2 linked regions of the Lonchura striata genome follow. The protein of the gene in region 2 purifies or fractionates together with the protein of the main gene of each other region. This does not show direct contact. Links are inferred from orthologs where the notes say so. Each region holds a gene or a part of one and is shown on either strand. Other genes may lie near its edges.

Evidence for each region. The genes of interacting proteins can lie anywhere in the genome.
Region 1: the proteins of JOSD2 (region 2) and AHCYL2 purify together in Homo sapiens (affinity purification with mass spectrometry; 3 studies listed by BioGRID and IntAct, counting the BioPlex papers as one, with this or other methods). This does not show direct contact. The link is inferred for Lonchura striata from reciprocal best matches to the Homo sapiens genes JOSD2 and AHCYL2.

The regions. Positions count from the first base shown.
Region 1 is NC_134607.1:72,297,837-72,305,227, forward strand, and holds the start of AHCYL2 (adenosylhomocysteinase 3), read right to left. Parts: upstream 3,007-7,391; 5' UTR 2,949-3,006; coding exon 2,562-2,948; intron 1-2,561. UniProt on the Homo sapiens protein: May regulate the electrogenic sodium/bicarbonate cotransporter SLC4A4 activity and Mg(2+)-sensitivity. On the contrary of its homolog AHCYL1, does not regulate ITPR1 sensitivity to inositol 1,4,5-trisphosphate.
Region 2 is NC_134640.1:1,544,769-1,551,884, forward strand, and holds the start of JOSD2 (josephin-2), read right to left. Parts: upstream 3,008-7,116; coding exon 2,986-3,007; intron 1,518-2,985; coding exon 1,268-1,517; intron 1-1,267. Other genes in the region: ASPDH (aspartate dehydrogenase domain-containing protein), read right to left, coding at 3,345-3,382, 3,507-3,658, 6,346-6,578. UniProt on the Homo sapiens protein: Cleaves 'Lys-63'-linked poly-ubiquitin chains, and with lesser efficiency 'Lys-48'-linked poly-ubiquitin chains (in vitro). May act as a deubiquitinating enzyme.

The DNA.
Region 1 (7,391 bases), on a different chromosome or scaffold from region 2:
CACAGCAGGTACAACAACCCCCCTGCTCCAGGGAGCAGCGGAGTCCACCTGAGGAGCTGCAGACACACGGAGGAACTCGCCAGGATCCACAGCTCCTCACACTCCTGGGCTGCAGCTGCAAGGCCACGGCACCCCCGGGAGAGGGGCACCCCAAAATCCACCCCCGACACACCCCACACCCAGCCGTGGGCACACCTGGCCCTGCCCCCCGTGCCAACGTCACCGGTGGCACCTGGGACGTTTTTATCTTCCCCACATTCCCCAGATAACCCTGGGAACGTGAACCTGATGTGAACCTGCACACACCCTGGGGCTGCAGAAATGGGTGTAAGGGCACCCAGAGACACCTGGGGGTGCAGAAATGGGGTGTAAGGGCACCCAGTGTCACCTGGGGGTGCAGAAATGGGGTGCAAACCCATCCAGAGACACCTGGGGGTGCAGAAATGGGGTGTAAGGGCACCCAGAGACACCTGGGGGTGCAGAAATGGGGTGTAAGGGCACCCAGAGTCACCTGGGGGTGCAGAAATGGGGTGCAAACCCATCCAGAGACACCTGGGGGTGCAGAAATGGGGTGTAAGGGCACCCAGAGTCACCTGGGGGGGCAGAAATGGGGTGTAAGGGCACCCAGTGTCACCTGGGGCTGCAGAAATGGGTGTAAGGGCACCCAGAGACACCTGGGGGTGCAGAAATGGGGTGTAAGGGCACCCAGTGTCACCTGGGGGTGCAGAAATGGGGTGCAAACCCATCCAGAGACACCTGGGGGTGCAGAAATGGGGTGTAAGGGCACCCAGAGACACCTGGGGGTGCAGAAATGGGGTGTAAGGGCACCCAGAGTCACCTGGGGGTGCAGAAATGGGGTGCAAACCCATCCAGAGACACCTGGGGGTGCAGAAATGGGGTGTAAGGGCACCCAGAGTCACCTGGGGGGGCAGAAATGGGGTGTAAACGCACCCAGTGTCACCTGGGGGTGCAGAAATGGGGTGTAAGGGCACCCAGAGACACCTGGGGGTGCAGAAATGGGGTGCAAACCCATCCAGAGACACCTGGGGGTGCAGAAATGGGTGTAAGGGCACCCAGTGTCACCTGGAGGTGCAGAAATGGGGTGTAAACGCACCCAGAGACACCTGGGGGTGCAGAAATGGGGTGCAAACCCATCCAGAGTCACCTGGGGCTGCAGGTGTGGGGTGTAAGGGCACCCAACGTCACCTGGGGGTGCAGAAATGGGGTGTAAGGGCACCCAGAGACACCTGGGGGTGCAGAAATGGGGTGCAAACCCATCCAGAGTCACCTGGGGCTGCAGGTGTGGGGTGTAAGGGCACCCAGAGACACCTGGGGGTGCAGAAAGGGGGTGTAAGGGCACCCAGAGACACCTGGGGGTGCAGAAAGGGGGTGTAAGGGCACCCAGAGACACCTGGGGGTGCAGAAATGGGGTGTAAGGGCACCCAGTGTCACCTGGGGGTGCCGAAATGGGGTGTAAGGGCACCCAGTGTCACCTGGGGGTGCAGAAATGGGGTGTAAGGGCACCCAGTGTCACCTGGGGGTGCCGAAATGGGGTGTAAGGGCACCCAGTGTCACCTGGGGGTGCAGAAATGGGGTGTAAGGGCACCCAGAGACACCTGGGGGTGCAGAAATGGGGTGCAAACCCATCCAGAGTCACCTGGGGCTGCAGGTGTGGGGTGTAAGGGCACCCAGAGACACCTGGGGGTGCAGAAATGGGGTGTAAGGGCACCCAGAGACACCTGGGGGTGCAGAAATGGGGTGTAAGGGCACCCAGAGACACCTGGGGGTGCAGAAATGGGGTGTAAGGGCACCCAGAGACACCTGGGGGTGCCGAAATGGGTGTAAGGGCACCCAGTGACACCTGGGGGTGCAGAAATGGGTGTAAGGGCACCCAGAGTCACCTGGGGGTGCAGAAATGGGGTGTAAGGGCACCCAGAGTCACCTGGGGGTGCAGAAATGGGGTGTAAGGGCACCCAGAGACACCTGGGGGTGCAGAAATGGGGTGTAAGGGCACCCAGAGTCACCTGGGGGTGCAGAAATGGGGTGTAAGGGCACCCAGAGTCACCTGGGGGGGCAAAAATGGGGTGTAAACGCACCCAGTGTCACCTGGGGGTGCAGAAATGGGGTGTAAGGGCACCCAGAGACACCTGGGGGTGCAGAAATGGGTGTAAGGGCACCCAGCGTCACCTGGGGGTTCAGAAATGGGGTGCAAGGGCACCCAGCGTCATCTGGGGCTGCAGAAATGGGGTGCAAGGGCACCCAGCGTCATCTGGGGCTGCAGAAATGGGGTGCAAGGGCACCCAGTGTCATCTGGGGCTGCAGAAATGGGGTGCAAGGGCACCCAGCGTCACCCCCCACGTCCCCAGTGCACAAACCCGGCAGCGGGGAGGGACGAGACGCAAACGCGCCGCCAGGCACGGCACAACACCTCCCCAAAACGCAAGCAGAGCCGCGGAGCACCCCCGGCTCACCGACACCCCCCGAGCCCGGGGCACCCCCACAGCGGCACCCCACGGCCCGGGCCCGCCGGGAGGGCTCCGCGCCGCCGCCGCCCCCGTTACCTTCTTGACGGTGCGCGGCGCCTCGCTGACGGTGCCGTCGGGGCTCACCAGCGCCTCGGCCGCGGCGCCGCCGCTCTCGCCGCCGTCGCGGTGCCGGTGCTGGGGGTGGTGCGGGTCGCTCCTCTTCATGGCCGAGGCTTGCGGCGCCTTGGCGGCGGCCGAGGACAGCCCGGGGCAGCCGCTGCCCGGAGGCCGCTCGGCGCAGGGGGCCGGGGCCGCCTCACGCTCGCCGCCCGGCACGGGGCAGGCGGGCGCCGCCGCCGCCACGCCGTGCCCCGCTGCGTGAGCGCCCGCAGGCTCGCACGGCGGCCCCGCCGCCTTGTCCATGGGGCCGCCCAGCTCCTTCAGCTCCACGGCGGGCGCGGCCACCGCCACCTGCACCGACATCGCCGCCGAGCTGCTCCGGCGCCGCTCCGGCTCCGGCTCCCTCAGGGCTGCCGGCCCCGCCCCGCCCCGCCCCGCCCCGCCGCCTCGCCGCCGCGCGGCATGCCGGGACGTGTAGTCCTGCCGGGCCTGCTCCGCCCCGTCGCGACTACAACTCCCGGCGCCCCCCGCAGCGCGGCCGCGCGGGGGTTGGCGGGAGTTGTAGTCCGCGAGGGGCCGTGAACGGCGTTATTTGGTTGTTTGGGTTTTTTTCACGTTTTGGTGGATTTTCAGTGTTTCGGCCGCTGGGCACAGAATCGCAGAGGCATTGAGGTTGTAAAACACCTTCAGGACCATCGAGACCAAGCTGTGCCCGATGCCCACCTTGTGTCCCCAGCTCAGAGCCCTGAGTGCCACCTCCAGGAATTTCTGGGATACCTCCAGGGATGGGAGCTCCAAACCTCCCTGGGCAGCCCCTGCCAAGGCCTGACAACCCTTTCCATGAAGGAATTTCCCCAAAATGCCCCCTGAGGCTGCCCTGGCCCAGCCTGAGGCCGTTCCCTCTCCTCCTGTCCCTGTTCCCTGGAGCACAGCCCGACCCCCCGGCTGTCCCCTCCTGGCAGGGACTTGTGCAGAGCCACAAGGTCCCCCTGAGCCTCCTTGGCTCCAGGCTCAGCCCCTTCCCAGCTCCCTCAGGTGCTCCCGGGCTCCATTCCCTTCCCAGCTCCCTCAGGTGCTCCCGGGCTCCATTCCCTTCCCAGCTCCCTCGGCCCCTCCCGGGCTCCATTCCCTTCCCAGCTCCCTCGGCCCCTCCTGGGCTCCATTCCCTTCCCAGCTCCCTCAGCCCCTCCTGGGCTCCATTCCCTTCCCAGCTCCCTCAGGTGCTCCCGGGCTCCATTCCCTTCCCAGCTCCCTCGGCCCCTCCCGGGCTCCATTCCCTTCCCAGCTCCCTCGGCCCCTCCCGGGCTCCATTCCCTTCCCAGCTCCCTCAGCCCCTCCTGGGCTCCATTCCCTTCCCAGCTCCCTCGGCCCCTCCCGGGCTCCATTCCCTTCCCAGCTCCCTCAGAGATTCTCCATTCCCTTCCCAGCTCCCTCGGCCCCTCCTGGGCTCCATTCCCTTCCCAGCTCCCTCGGCCCCTCCCGGGCTCCATTCCCTTCCCAGCTCCCTCGGCCCCTCCCGGGCTCCATTCCCTTCCCAGCTCCCTCGGCCCCTCCCGGGCTCCATTCCCTTCCCAGCTCCCTCAGCCCCTCCCGGGCTCCATTCCCTTCCCCAGCTCCTTTGTCCCTTCTCTGGACTCAATCCGTCACAGGACTCGGTGTCCCCACGGTGCCACGGTCTGGCCAGGCATCTCCCCACGCCTGGACCAAAATTACGGAATTTCGGAGCCATTGGGGTTGGAAAAGCCTCCCAGGCAATGAAGCCCAACCACTGCAAGGCCACCACTGATCCATGTCCCCAAGAGCCACCAGCAAGGAAGATGTCCCACTAAAGCCATCCCAATGGGAAAATTTGGCTGAAATTACAGAATTTCAGAGACAAAGGGTCGGAATAACCCTCCCAGACCATCAATCCCAACCAAGGCCAGGAAAACCCTTGGGAATGAGGAACCACAACATCCTGGCATGGGGAACGTGCCATCCAAAAACCTGGGACTGGCCACAGAGGCACAAACCAGTGCTAAACCACAACGTTTGTGATTTACAGTTAATGATTGAAGTTTTAATTGAAGATTAATTGAAGATTGAAGTTTCTCAATCCAGTTCTTTGGGAATGTGCCTCTCCTGGAGTGCTTTTATTATTGTTATTGATTGATACCAGCTCTGAGAGAAGAACTTGGAGCTGCTGGTGGGTGAGAGCTTAATTAATTCTCAATTCTGACCCTGATCCTCCTCTGCGGAGGAGAGGAGCTTCTGCTGCCCTGGAGATGGGAGAAATCCTTTAAAATTTATCATTTCCTGGTGCCACAGATCCCACAAAAAACAACAACAAAAAAACCAACAAAAAACCCAAACCAAAACAAAAAACAACAACAACAAAAAAAAAAACCACCAAAAAAACCCCCCAAAACAAAACAAAAAAACCCCAACAAAAACACAAAACAAAAACCCACCAGGTTGTTTTGACAAAGGCAAAATCCCCTCCTCTGCTGAGGGAGGAGCTTGTGTCAACCTGAAGATGGAGAAATCCTCCAGAATTCATCATTTCCTGGTACCACAGATCCCAGGGGGAAAAAAAAATAAAAAACCCAAAACAAAAACCCACCAGGTTGTTTTGACCAAAGGCAAAACCCTGACCCTGATCCTCCTGTGCTGAAGGAAGGAGATTGTGTCGACCTGAGGATGGAGAAATCCTTTAAAATTTATCATTTCCTGGTGCCACAGATCCCACAAAAAACCCATCAGATTGTTTTGCAAATCACTTATAAATGCAAAATCCTGACCCTGAGTTCTCGTCTCTGAGAGGAGCTTGTGCCAACCTGGAGATAAAGAAATCCTCTGGAATTTATCATCTCAGATCCCACAAAAAGATCCCAGGTTGTTTTGGGCATCCTTCACCAGGGCAAAATCCTGACCCTGAGCCCACCTGGTTCCAGGTGGGCTCTTCTTCACCTTTTAAAGGATATTCCTAAAATCAGGAGACTGGCAGGGATGGTGTTTTCCTGGGAAAAACAGCCTGTGCTGCTGCCAGCAGCCCCAAAACTGGTGTTGATTTGGCATAAATGCCAGGGCTGATGCCTTGAGAACCTGACCTAGAGCAGAGGTTGGACTAAAGAATAAATTAGGGATTTATTAAAGGATCTCCTCCATGGATCCACCCTGGGCAGCACCAGAGCCCAGCCAGGGCTGCACCCAAATTAACCAAAATGGTCCCAAAATGAACCCAAGATGACCCAAAATGGTCCCAAAATGAACCAAAATGGTCCCAAAATGAACCCAGAATGACCCAAACTGGCCCCAAAATGCACGAGCGCTCCCGGGGCTCTCCCTGGGATCAGTTCTGCTCCATTGGCACCTTGGAGTTCATTCCCATTCCAGCTCCAGCCCATCAGTCCCATCCTGCTTGTTTTTCTCTCTCCAGCCCACGGTGTTTGTGCTCCTGGGCTGAGGTTTGGATCATTTGTCCTTGGTGCCCAGCTGGAGCAGGAATTGTTTTGTGTCCCTGCTCTGCGCACAGAGCTCAGCATCCCATCATGTGAAGCCCAGACCCACACACCAAAGCAGCTCAGAATGTCAAAAATATAAAAGCTCAACCCTGAGGCATCAGAGAGGTTATCCCAGGGATCCAGGCCGTGCCTGGTGATTTATCTGGGAAAACAACAGAAATCAGGAGGGGAAGTTTGGGGAGGGAGGCTCCAACAATTGGGGCTCTGTGAGAAGCAGGCAGCTCGGGGCTGCCTCCCTCCCTCGCTCCCTGACACCAGGCTGGGATGGTTCTGCCTGGAAGTTTGGGAGAAAACAGCTTTGGAAAAGCAAAATTCCAAATCCTCCTCGAGAGCCGTAGATCCACAGCAGAGCTTGGTTTTTCCCACAAACAGAATTAAGGTAGAGCAGGAGGAAAAACCTGCATTTTCCAGGTTTGTTTTCTGGTCCGGCTGAGATTTCATCCTTTTAATTCCACCAGATGGGTGGAAAATGCCAACATTTCTCCCTAGGGATCAGTGGTTCAGTGAAAACACAGGGAATCAGTGAATCCACAGGGAATATTACCCAAATTTCCTGAAATTTCCCCGTTTTTCACCTCTGGAGGTGTTGGGAGATGTGTGACCCTCTGCACTTCGTTCTCCTGCACCTCCCATGGGAATGCTGGAGCTTTTCCCTAAGGATATTTCAGGGAAATTTGCTGGATTTTGGCAAACTCCTTCAACATTTTCTCCCCCTGCACAAAATCCAGGTGGGGTTTTTTGGGAGGGGATGTGATGTCGTCAGCACATCTCCTGCTGCTTCCAAAATGAAAATATTTTGGTGGTTTTGTTTCAAAATGGCAAATCTTGTAGGAATAGTTTTGTTAGAACTGGGATTTTCACCAAGAAAGCTATGAAATAAAATATATAGAAAGAAAATAAATAGCCCCAAAAAAAGTAGATAAAGAGAAATATTTTGTTTCATCCCGGACCATCCAGCTCTGACTCTGGAGCAGGGTCAGCCCAAAAATAAAAAATAACAAACACTGGAAAAATGCAATTTTCACTGAACAATTCCACCTAAATTTCAGGGTTTGGTTTGCAGGATAACCAAACCCTGCAGCTGCAGGGCTCTCAAGCAAAATAAGAAAAGGATCTTTTCCAAAAGCAGCATTTTTCCCCCCAAAAGAAAGCACCAGCGCTGTGGGAAACTTTGGATGCTTCAGTGGGACCCCACCCAGGAGCACTCCAAAATTTGGGGCTACCCAAATTTTAGGGGTTTGGGGGATATTTTAGCCCGTGGTGCCACCTGCAGGCAAAGGCCCCGGTTGTCCCCAGAACTGCC
Region 2 (7,116 bases):
AACAGCCCAGAGACCCCTCCCCAAATTACCAAAGACCCCTCCCCAAATTAATGAACAGCCCAGAGACCCCTCCCCAAATTAGCAAAGACCCCTCCCCTAATTAATGAACCCCCACAGACCCCTCCCCAAATTAGCAAAGACCCCTCCCCTAATTAATGAACCCCCACAGACCCCTCCCCTAATTAATGAACCCCTACAGACCCCTCCCCAAATTAGCAAAGACCCCTCCCCTAATTAATGAACAGCCCAGAGACCCCTCCCCAAATTAGCAAAGACCCCTCCCCTAATTAATGAACCCCCACAGACCCCTCCCCAAATTAACAAAGACCCCTCCCCTAATTAATGAACCCCCACAGACCCCTCCCCAAATTAGCAAAGACCCCTCCCCTAATTAACGAACAACCCACAGACCCCTCCCCAAATTAGCAAAGACCCCTCCCCTAATTAATGAACAGCCCAGAGACCCCTCCCCAAATTAGCAAAGACCCCTCCCCTATTTAATGAACCCCCACAGACCCCTCCCCAAATTAACAAAGACCCCTCCCCTAATTAATGAACCCCCACAGACCCCTCCCCAAATTAGCAAAGACCCCTCCCCTAATTAACGAACAACCCACAGACCCCTCCCCAAATTAGCAAAGACCCCTCCCCTAATTAATGAACAGCCCAGAGACCCCTCCCCAAATTAGCAAAGACCCCTCCCCTAATTAATGAACAGCCCAGAGACCCCTCCCCAAATTCAGGGAACGCCACCAAGACCTTTCCCCACACCCTTGAGACCCCTCCCCAAATTCAGGAACCCTTCCCAGTGCCCTCAAAGCAGCCCCAAAACCCCCCAAAACCCCCTGAGACCCCTCCCCAAATTCAGAAAACCCCACCAAGACCCCTCCCCACACCCTTGGGACCCCTCCCCAAATTCGGGAACCCCCATGGGACCCCTCCCCAAATTCGGGAACTCCCCTGAGACCCCTCCCCAAATTCAGGAACCCTCCTGAGACCCCTCCCCAAATTGAGGAAACCTTCCCAGTGCCCTCAAAGCAGCCCCAAACCCCCCTAAAACCCCCTGAGACCCCTCCCCAAATTCAGAAAACCCCACTAAGATTCCTCCCCACACCCTTGGGACCCCTCCCCAAATTCAGGAACCCTTCCCAGCGCCCTCAAAGCAGCCCCAAACCCCCCCAAAACCGCCCCAAACCCCCCTGAGACCCCTCCCCGAATTGGGTCTGGGGTCCGGGGGCGGTTCCCCGAATTGGGTCTGGGGTCTCACCGCTGGCAGATGCGGTCGGCCGAGGCCTGGCTGAGCCAGGGCCGCTGCAGGAGGTTGTTGAGGGCGTGCAGGGCGCAGAGCTGCCGGCGCTGCCGCTCGTGGTACGGCTCCGCCGGGACCCCAGACCCAAATGCGGCCAGGACCCCCCCCAAATCCGAGAAGACCGCCCCCAAATCTGGGGAGACCCCCCCCAAATCCGGGGAGACCCCCCCCAAATCCGGGGAGAGCCCCCCCAAATCCGCCTGGGGGGCTGCAGGGAGGGGGGGGGGGGGGGGAAAGGGTGAGCGTGGGACCCCCGAGTTTGGGGAGACCCCTCCCCAAATTACCCCCGAGACCCCTCCCCAAGTCACCCTGAGACCCCTCCTCAAATTACCCCAAGACCCCTCCCCAAATCTCCTGAAATTCCCCCCAGGACCCCTCCCCAAACTCCCCAAAATTCCCCCAAATCACCCTGAGACCCCTCCCCAAATTCCCTCAAATTCCCCCCAAAATCCTCTCAAATCAACCTGAGACCCCTCCCCAAATTCCCCCCAAAATTCTCTCAAATAACCCACGAGACCCCTCCCCAAATTCTCTCAAATCACCCCTGAGACCCCTCCTCAAATTACCCCGAATCACCCCGAGACCCCTCCCCAAATTACCCTGAATCACCCCAAGACCCCTCCCCAAATCTCCTGAAATTCCCCCAGGGACCCCTCCCCAAATTCCCCAAAATTCCCCCCAAAATTCCCCCAAATCACCCTGAGACCCCTCCCCAAATTACCCTGAGACCCCTCCCCAAATCTCCTGAAATTCCCCCAGAGACCCCTCCCCAAATTACCCCGAATCACCCTGAGACCCCTCCCCAAATCACCCTGAGACCCCTCCCCAAATTCTCCCAAATTCCCCCAAAATTCCCTCAAGTCACCCTGAGACCCCTCCCCAAATCACCCCTGAGACCCCTCCCCAAATTCCCCCCAAAATTCTCTCCAAATCCCCCAAGACCCCTCCCCAAATTATCCCAATTCACCCTGAGACCCCCTCCCCAAATTCCCTCAAATTCCCCCCAAAATTCTCTCAAATCACCCCGAGACCCCTCCCCAAATTCCCCCAAATCACTGAGACCCCTCCCCAAATTTCCCCCAAGACTCCTCCTCAAATTCCCCTCAAAACTCTCTCAAATAACCCCGAGACCCCTCCCCAAATTCCCCCAAAATTCCTCCAAATCCCCCCAGGACCCCTCCCCAAATTCCTGACACACCCAAAGGTCCCCAAAATCCATCAAATACGCCCCAAATCCCCCCCAAACCCCTGAGACCCCCCCAATTTCCCCTCAAATCACCTCCAGGACCCCTCCCCAAATTCCTGGCACCCCCAAATTCCCCCCAGGACCCCCCAAAATCCCTCCCAGGTCCCCCAAATTCCTTCTAATCCCCCCCAAAATCACCCCGGGACCCCCAAATCCCCCTCAGGACCCCTCCCAAAATTCCTGGCACCCCCAAAACCCCAAGACCACCCTGACCCCCCCCCCCCAAAATCTCCTCAGGACCCCCAAATCCCCCAAAATCCTCCCAAAATCCCCCAAACCCCCCCAGGCCTCCCCAGCCCTTCCCCCCTCCCGCGGCCTCCACTTCCCTCCCCCCCCAAATCCCCTCCTGCCCCCCCAAAACCTCCTCGAGCCCCCCAGGACCCCCCGGGACCCCCCAAAATTCAGCCCCGGCCTCTCCCCCGCTCCTCACCCGGCGCCTCCTCCGGCGCCATGGCGGGCCGGAACTACAACTCCCGTCATGCCCCGCGCCGCGCCGACCAATCAGAGCGCGGCCGCATCCTCCTCCATCCAATCAGCGCCTTGACCTTCCTCCCTTAACGCTTCGCGCGCCAGCACCCACCAATCAGCAGCCAGAATCCCTCCCTCCCTCAGCGTTTCCACCAATCAGATCGCGGCTTTCCCCCCGCCGCCATTACAAGAAGGGCGCCGGCGCCGCCAGCCTCGGGCGGGTTGTTTGTTTTTTTATTTTATTTTATTGTCCCCAAAATTTGGCGACAACAAAATTTGTCCCCGCGGCGTCCCCGCTGGGTTTCCGCTCTCGCTCCTTCCTCAGCAGAGCTTGAGGCAGCCGCCGTGCCCGGTGCAGGCTGCGGGGAGGGGATAAATGAGCGACACGTGGAGGGGTGGCGCGGGTGGCACCGAGGTGACACCGGGGTGACACCGGGGTGGCACCGGGGTGGCACAGGGGTGGCACAGGGGACAGGGCCACACCCAGCACGCTGCTCCAGAAGCTGTGGCGGGTGGCGCTGCCCGTGACGTGGCCGGGCTCGGCGGGGTTGCGGCGGGTGCTGGTGACGGTGAGGGCGCGGCCACCCTCGGGGACAGCGGTGACATCCACGGTGACGAGGTGGCAGTCGGGGACACTGCGGGGACAATGACAGGGACATTGGGGACACTGAGGGGACATTGGGGACACTGCAGGGACAGGGACATTGGGGACACTGTGGGGACAGGGACAGGGACATTGGGGACACTGCGGGGACAGGGACAGGGACATTGAGGGGACATTGGGGACATTGGGGACAGTGACAGTGACACTGAGGGGACATTGGGGACACTGCGGGGACATCCACAGTGACGAGGTGGCAGTCGGGGACACTGTGGGGACAATGACAGGGACACGGAGGGGACATTGGGGACATTGAGGGGACATTGGGGACACTGAGGGGACAGGGACAGGGACAGCGGTGACATCCACGGTGACGAGGTGGCAGTCGGGGACACTGCGGGGACAATGACAGGGACATTTGGGACAGTGACAGGGACACTGCGGGGACAGGGACAGGGACACTGAGGGGACATTGGGGACACTGAGGGGACATTGGGGATACGACAGGGACAGGGACAGGGACATTGGGGACCCTGAGGGGACATCCACGGTGACGAGGTGGCAGTCGGGGACACTGCGGAGACAGGGACACTGAGGGGACATTGGGGACACTGCGGGGACAGGGACAGGGACACTGAGGGGACACTGGGGACACTGAGGGGACATTGGGGACACTGCGGGGACAGGGACAGGGACACTGAGGGGACACTGGGGACACTGAGGGGACATTGGGGACACTGCGGGGACAGGGACAGGGACACTGAGGGGACACTGAGGGGACATTGGGGACACTGCGGGGACAAGGACAGGGACACTGAGGGGACATTGGGGACACTGAGGGGACAAGGACAGGGACACTGAGGGGACATTGGGGACATTGGAGACACTGAGGGGACACTGGGGACAGTGACAGTGACACTGAGGGGACATTGGGGACACTGCGGGAACAGGGACAGGGACATTGAGGGGACATTGGGGACACTGAGGGGACATTGGGGACACTGCGGGGACAAGGACAGGGACACTGAGGGGACATTGGGGACACTGAGGGGACATCCACGGTGACGAGGTGGCAGTCGGGGACACTGCGGGGACAGGGACAGGGACACTGAGGGGACATTGGGGACACTGCGGGGACAGGGACAGGGACATTGAGGGGACATTGGGGACACTGAGGGGACATTGGGGACAGTGACAGTGACACTGAGGGGACATTGGGGACACTGGGGGGACAAGGACAGGGACACTGCAGGGACAGTGACACTGAGGGGACATTGGGGACACTGAGGGGACATTGGGGACACTGCAGGGACAGGGACAGGGACACTGAGGGGACATCCACAGTGACGAGGTGGCAGTCGGGGACACTGCGGGGACAGGGACAGGGACACTGAGGGGACATTGGGGACACTGAGGGGACACTGGGGACAGTGACAGTGACACTGAGGGGACATTGGGGACACTGCGGGGACAAGGACAGGGACACTGCAGGGACAGGGACACTGAGGGGACACTGGGGGGACATTGGGGGTGGCACTGGAAGGACAGGGAGGTGACACACACAGCACAGGTGCCACCCATGTGCCACTCAGGTGCCACAGGAGGTGACACAGGTGCCACCCAAGTGCCACTCAGGTGATCCAGGTGTCACAGGAGGTGACACACGTCACACAGGAGGTGCCACAGGTGCCACCCACATGCCACAGGAGGTGCCACACACGACACAGGTGACACAGGGGATGCCACAGGTGCCACCCAGGTGACACAGGTGCCACAGGAGGTGACACAGGTGCCACCCAGGTGCCACAGGAGGTGACACAGGTGCCACAGGAGGTGACACAGGTGCCACCCAGGTGCCACAGGAGGTGACAGAGGAGCCACATGCAACCCAGGTGCCACAGGTGTCACAGGGGGTGCCACAGGTGCCACCCAGGTGCCACAGGAGGTGACACAGGCACCACCCAAGTGCCACCCAGGTGCCATAGAAGGTGACACAGGTTCCACACACAACACAGGCGCCACAGCGGGTGCCACAGGAGGTGACAGCGGTGACACAGGAGGTGCCACAGGTGCCACCCAGGTGCCACTCAGGTGCCATAGAAGGTGACACAGGTGCCACACACAACACAGGTGCCACGTGGTGCCACAGGAGGTGCCACAGCCAGGTGACAGGTGCCACCCAGGTGCCACAGGAGGTGAAACAGGTGCCACACGGGTGACACAGGAGGTGACACAGGTGCCACAGGAGGTGACACAGGTGCCACTCAGGTGCCACAGGAGGTGACAGAGGAGCCACACGCAACCCAGGTGCCACAGGTGTCACAGGGGGTGCCACAGGTGACACAGGAGGTGACACAGGTGCCACCCAAGTGCCACCCAGGTGCCACAGGAGGTGACACAGGTGCCACCCGAGTGCCACTCAGGTGCCGTAGAAGGTGACACAGGTGCCACACACAACACAGGCGCCACCCAGGTGCCACAGGAGGTGCCACAGCCAGGTGACAGGTGCCACAGGTGCCACAGAAGGTGCCACAGGTGCCACCCGGGTGCCATAGAAGGTGACACAGGTGCCACACACAACACAGGTGCCACAGCGGGTGCCACAGGAGGTGACAGCGGTGACACAGGAGGTGCCACGGGGGTGCCACAGGTGCCACCCAAGTGCCACAGAAGGTGCCACAGGTGCCACCCCGGTGTCCCCCCCCGTCCCCGGGTGCCCACCTGGGGTCGGCCACCAGGCAGGCGGTGACGCCGTCGAAGCCGAGGCGCGGCGCCGCCAGGGCCGCGGCCGCCATGGCGTTGACGTTGTTGGGGACGAGGGCGCAGAGCGGGCGCAGGGGACCCCGGTACAGAACCGTCCTCGTCCCCGAGGCCACCGCGGCCGCCACGCGCGGGGACAGCCAGCCCCGGGCGCGGAAACTGCCCGCGGCCTTGGTCATCGTCACCGTCAGCGCCTGTGGCACGGGGACAATGTCACTGTCACCTCGGGGACATGGGGTCATTGTCACTGTCACCTCGGGGACATGGGGACATGGTCACTGTCACCTTGGGGACAGCCCGCCCCGGGCGCGGAAACTGCCCGCGGCCTTGGTCATCGTCACCGTCAGCGCCTGCGGCACGGGGACAATGTCACTGTCACCTCGGGGACATGGGGACATGGTCATTGTCACCTCGGGGACACGGGGTCATTGTCACTGTCACCTCTGGGACATGGGGACATGGTCACTGTCACCTCAGGGACACGGGGTCATTGTCACTGTCACCTCTGGGACATGGGGACATGGTCACTGTCACCTTGGGGACAGCCAGCCCCGGGCGCGGAAACTGCCCGCGGCCTTGGTCATCGTCACCGTCAGCGCCTGCGGCACGGGGACATTGTCACTGTCACCTCGGGGACATGGGGACATGGTCACTGTCACCTCTGGGACATGGGGACAATGTCACTGTCACCTCAGGGACACGGGGTCATTGTCACTGTCACCTCTGGGACAT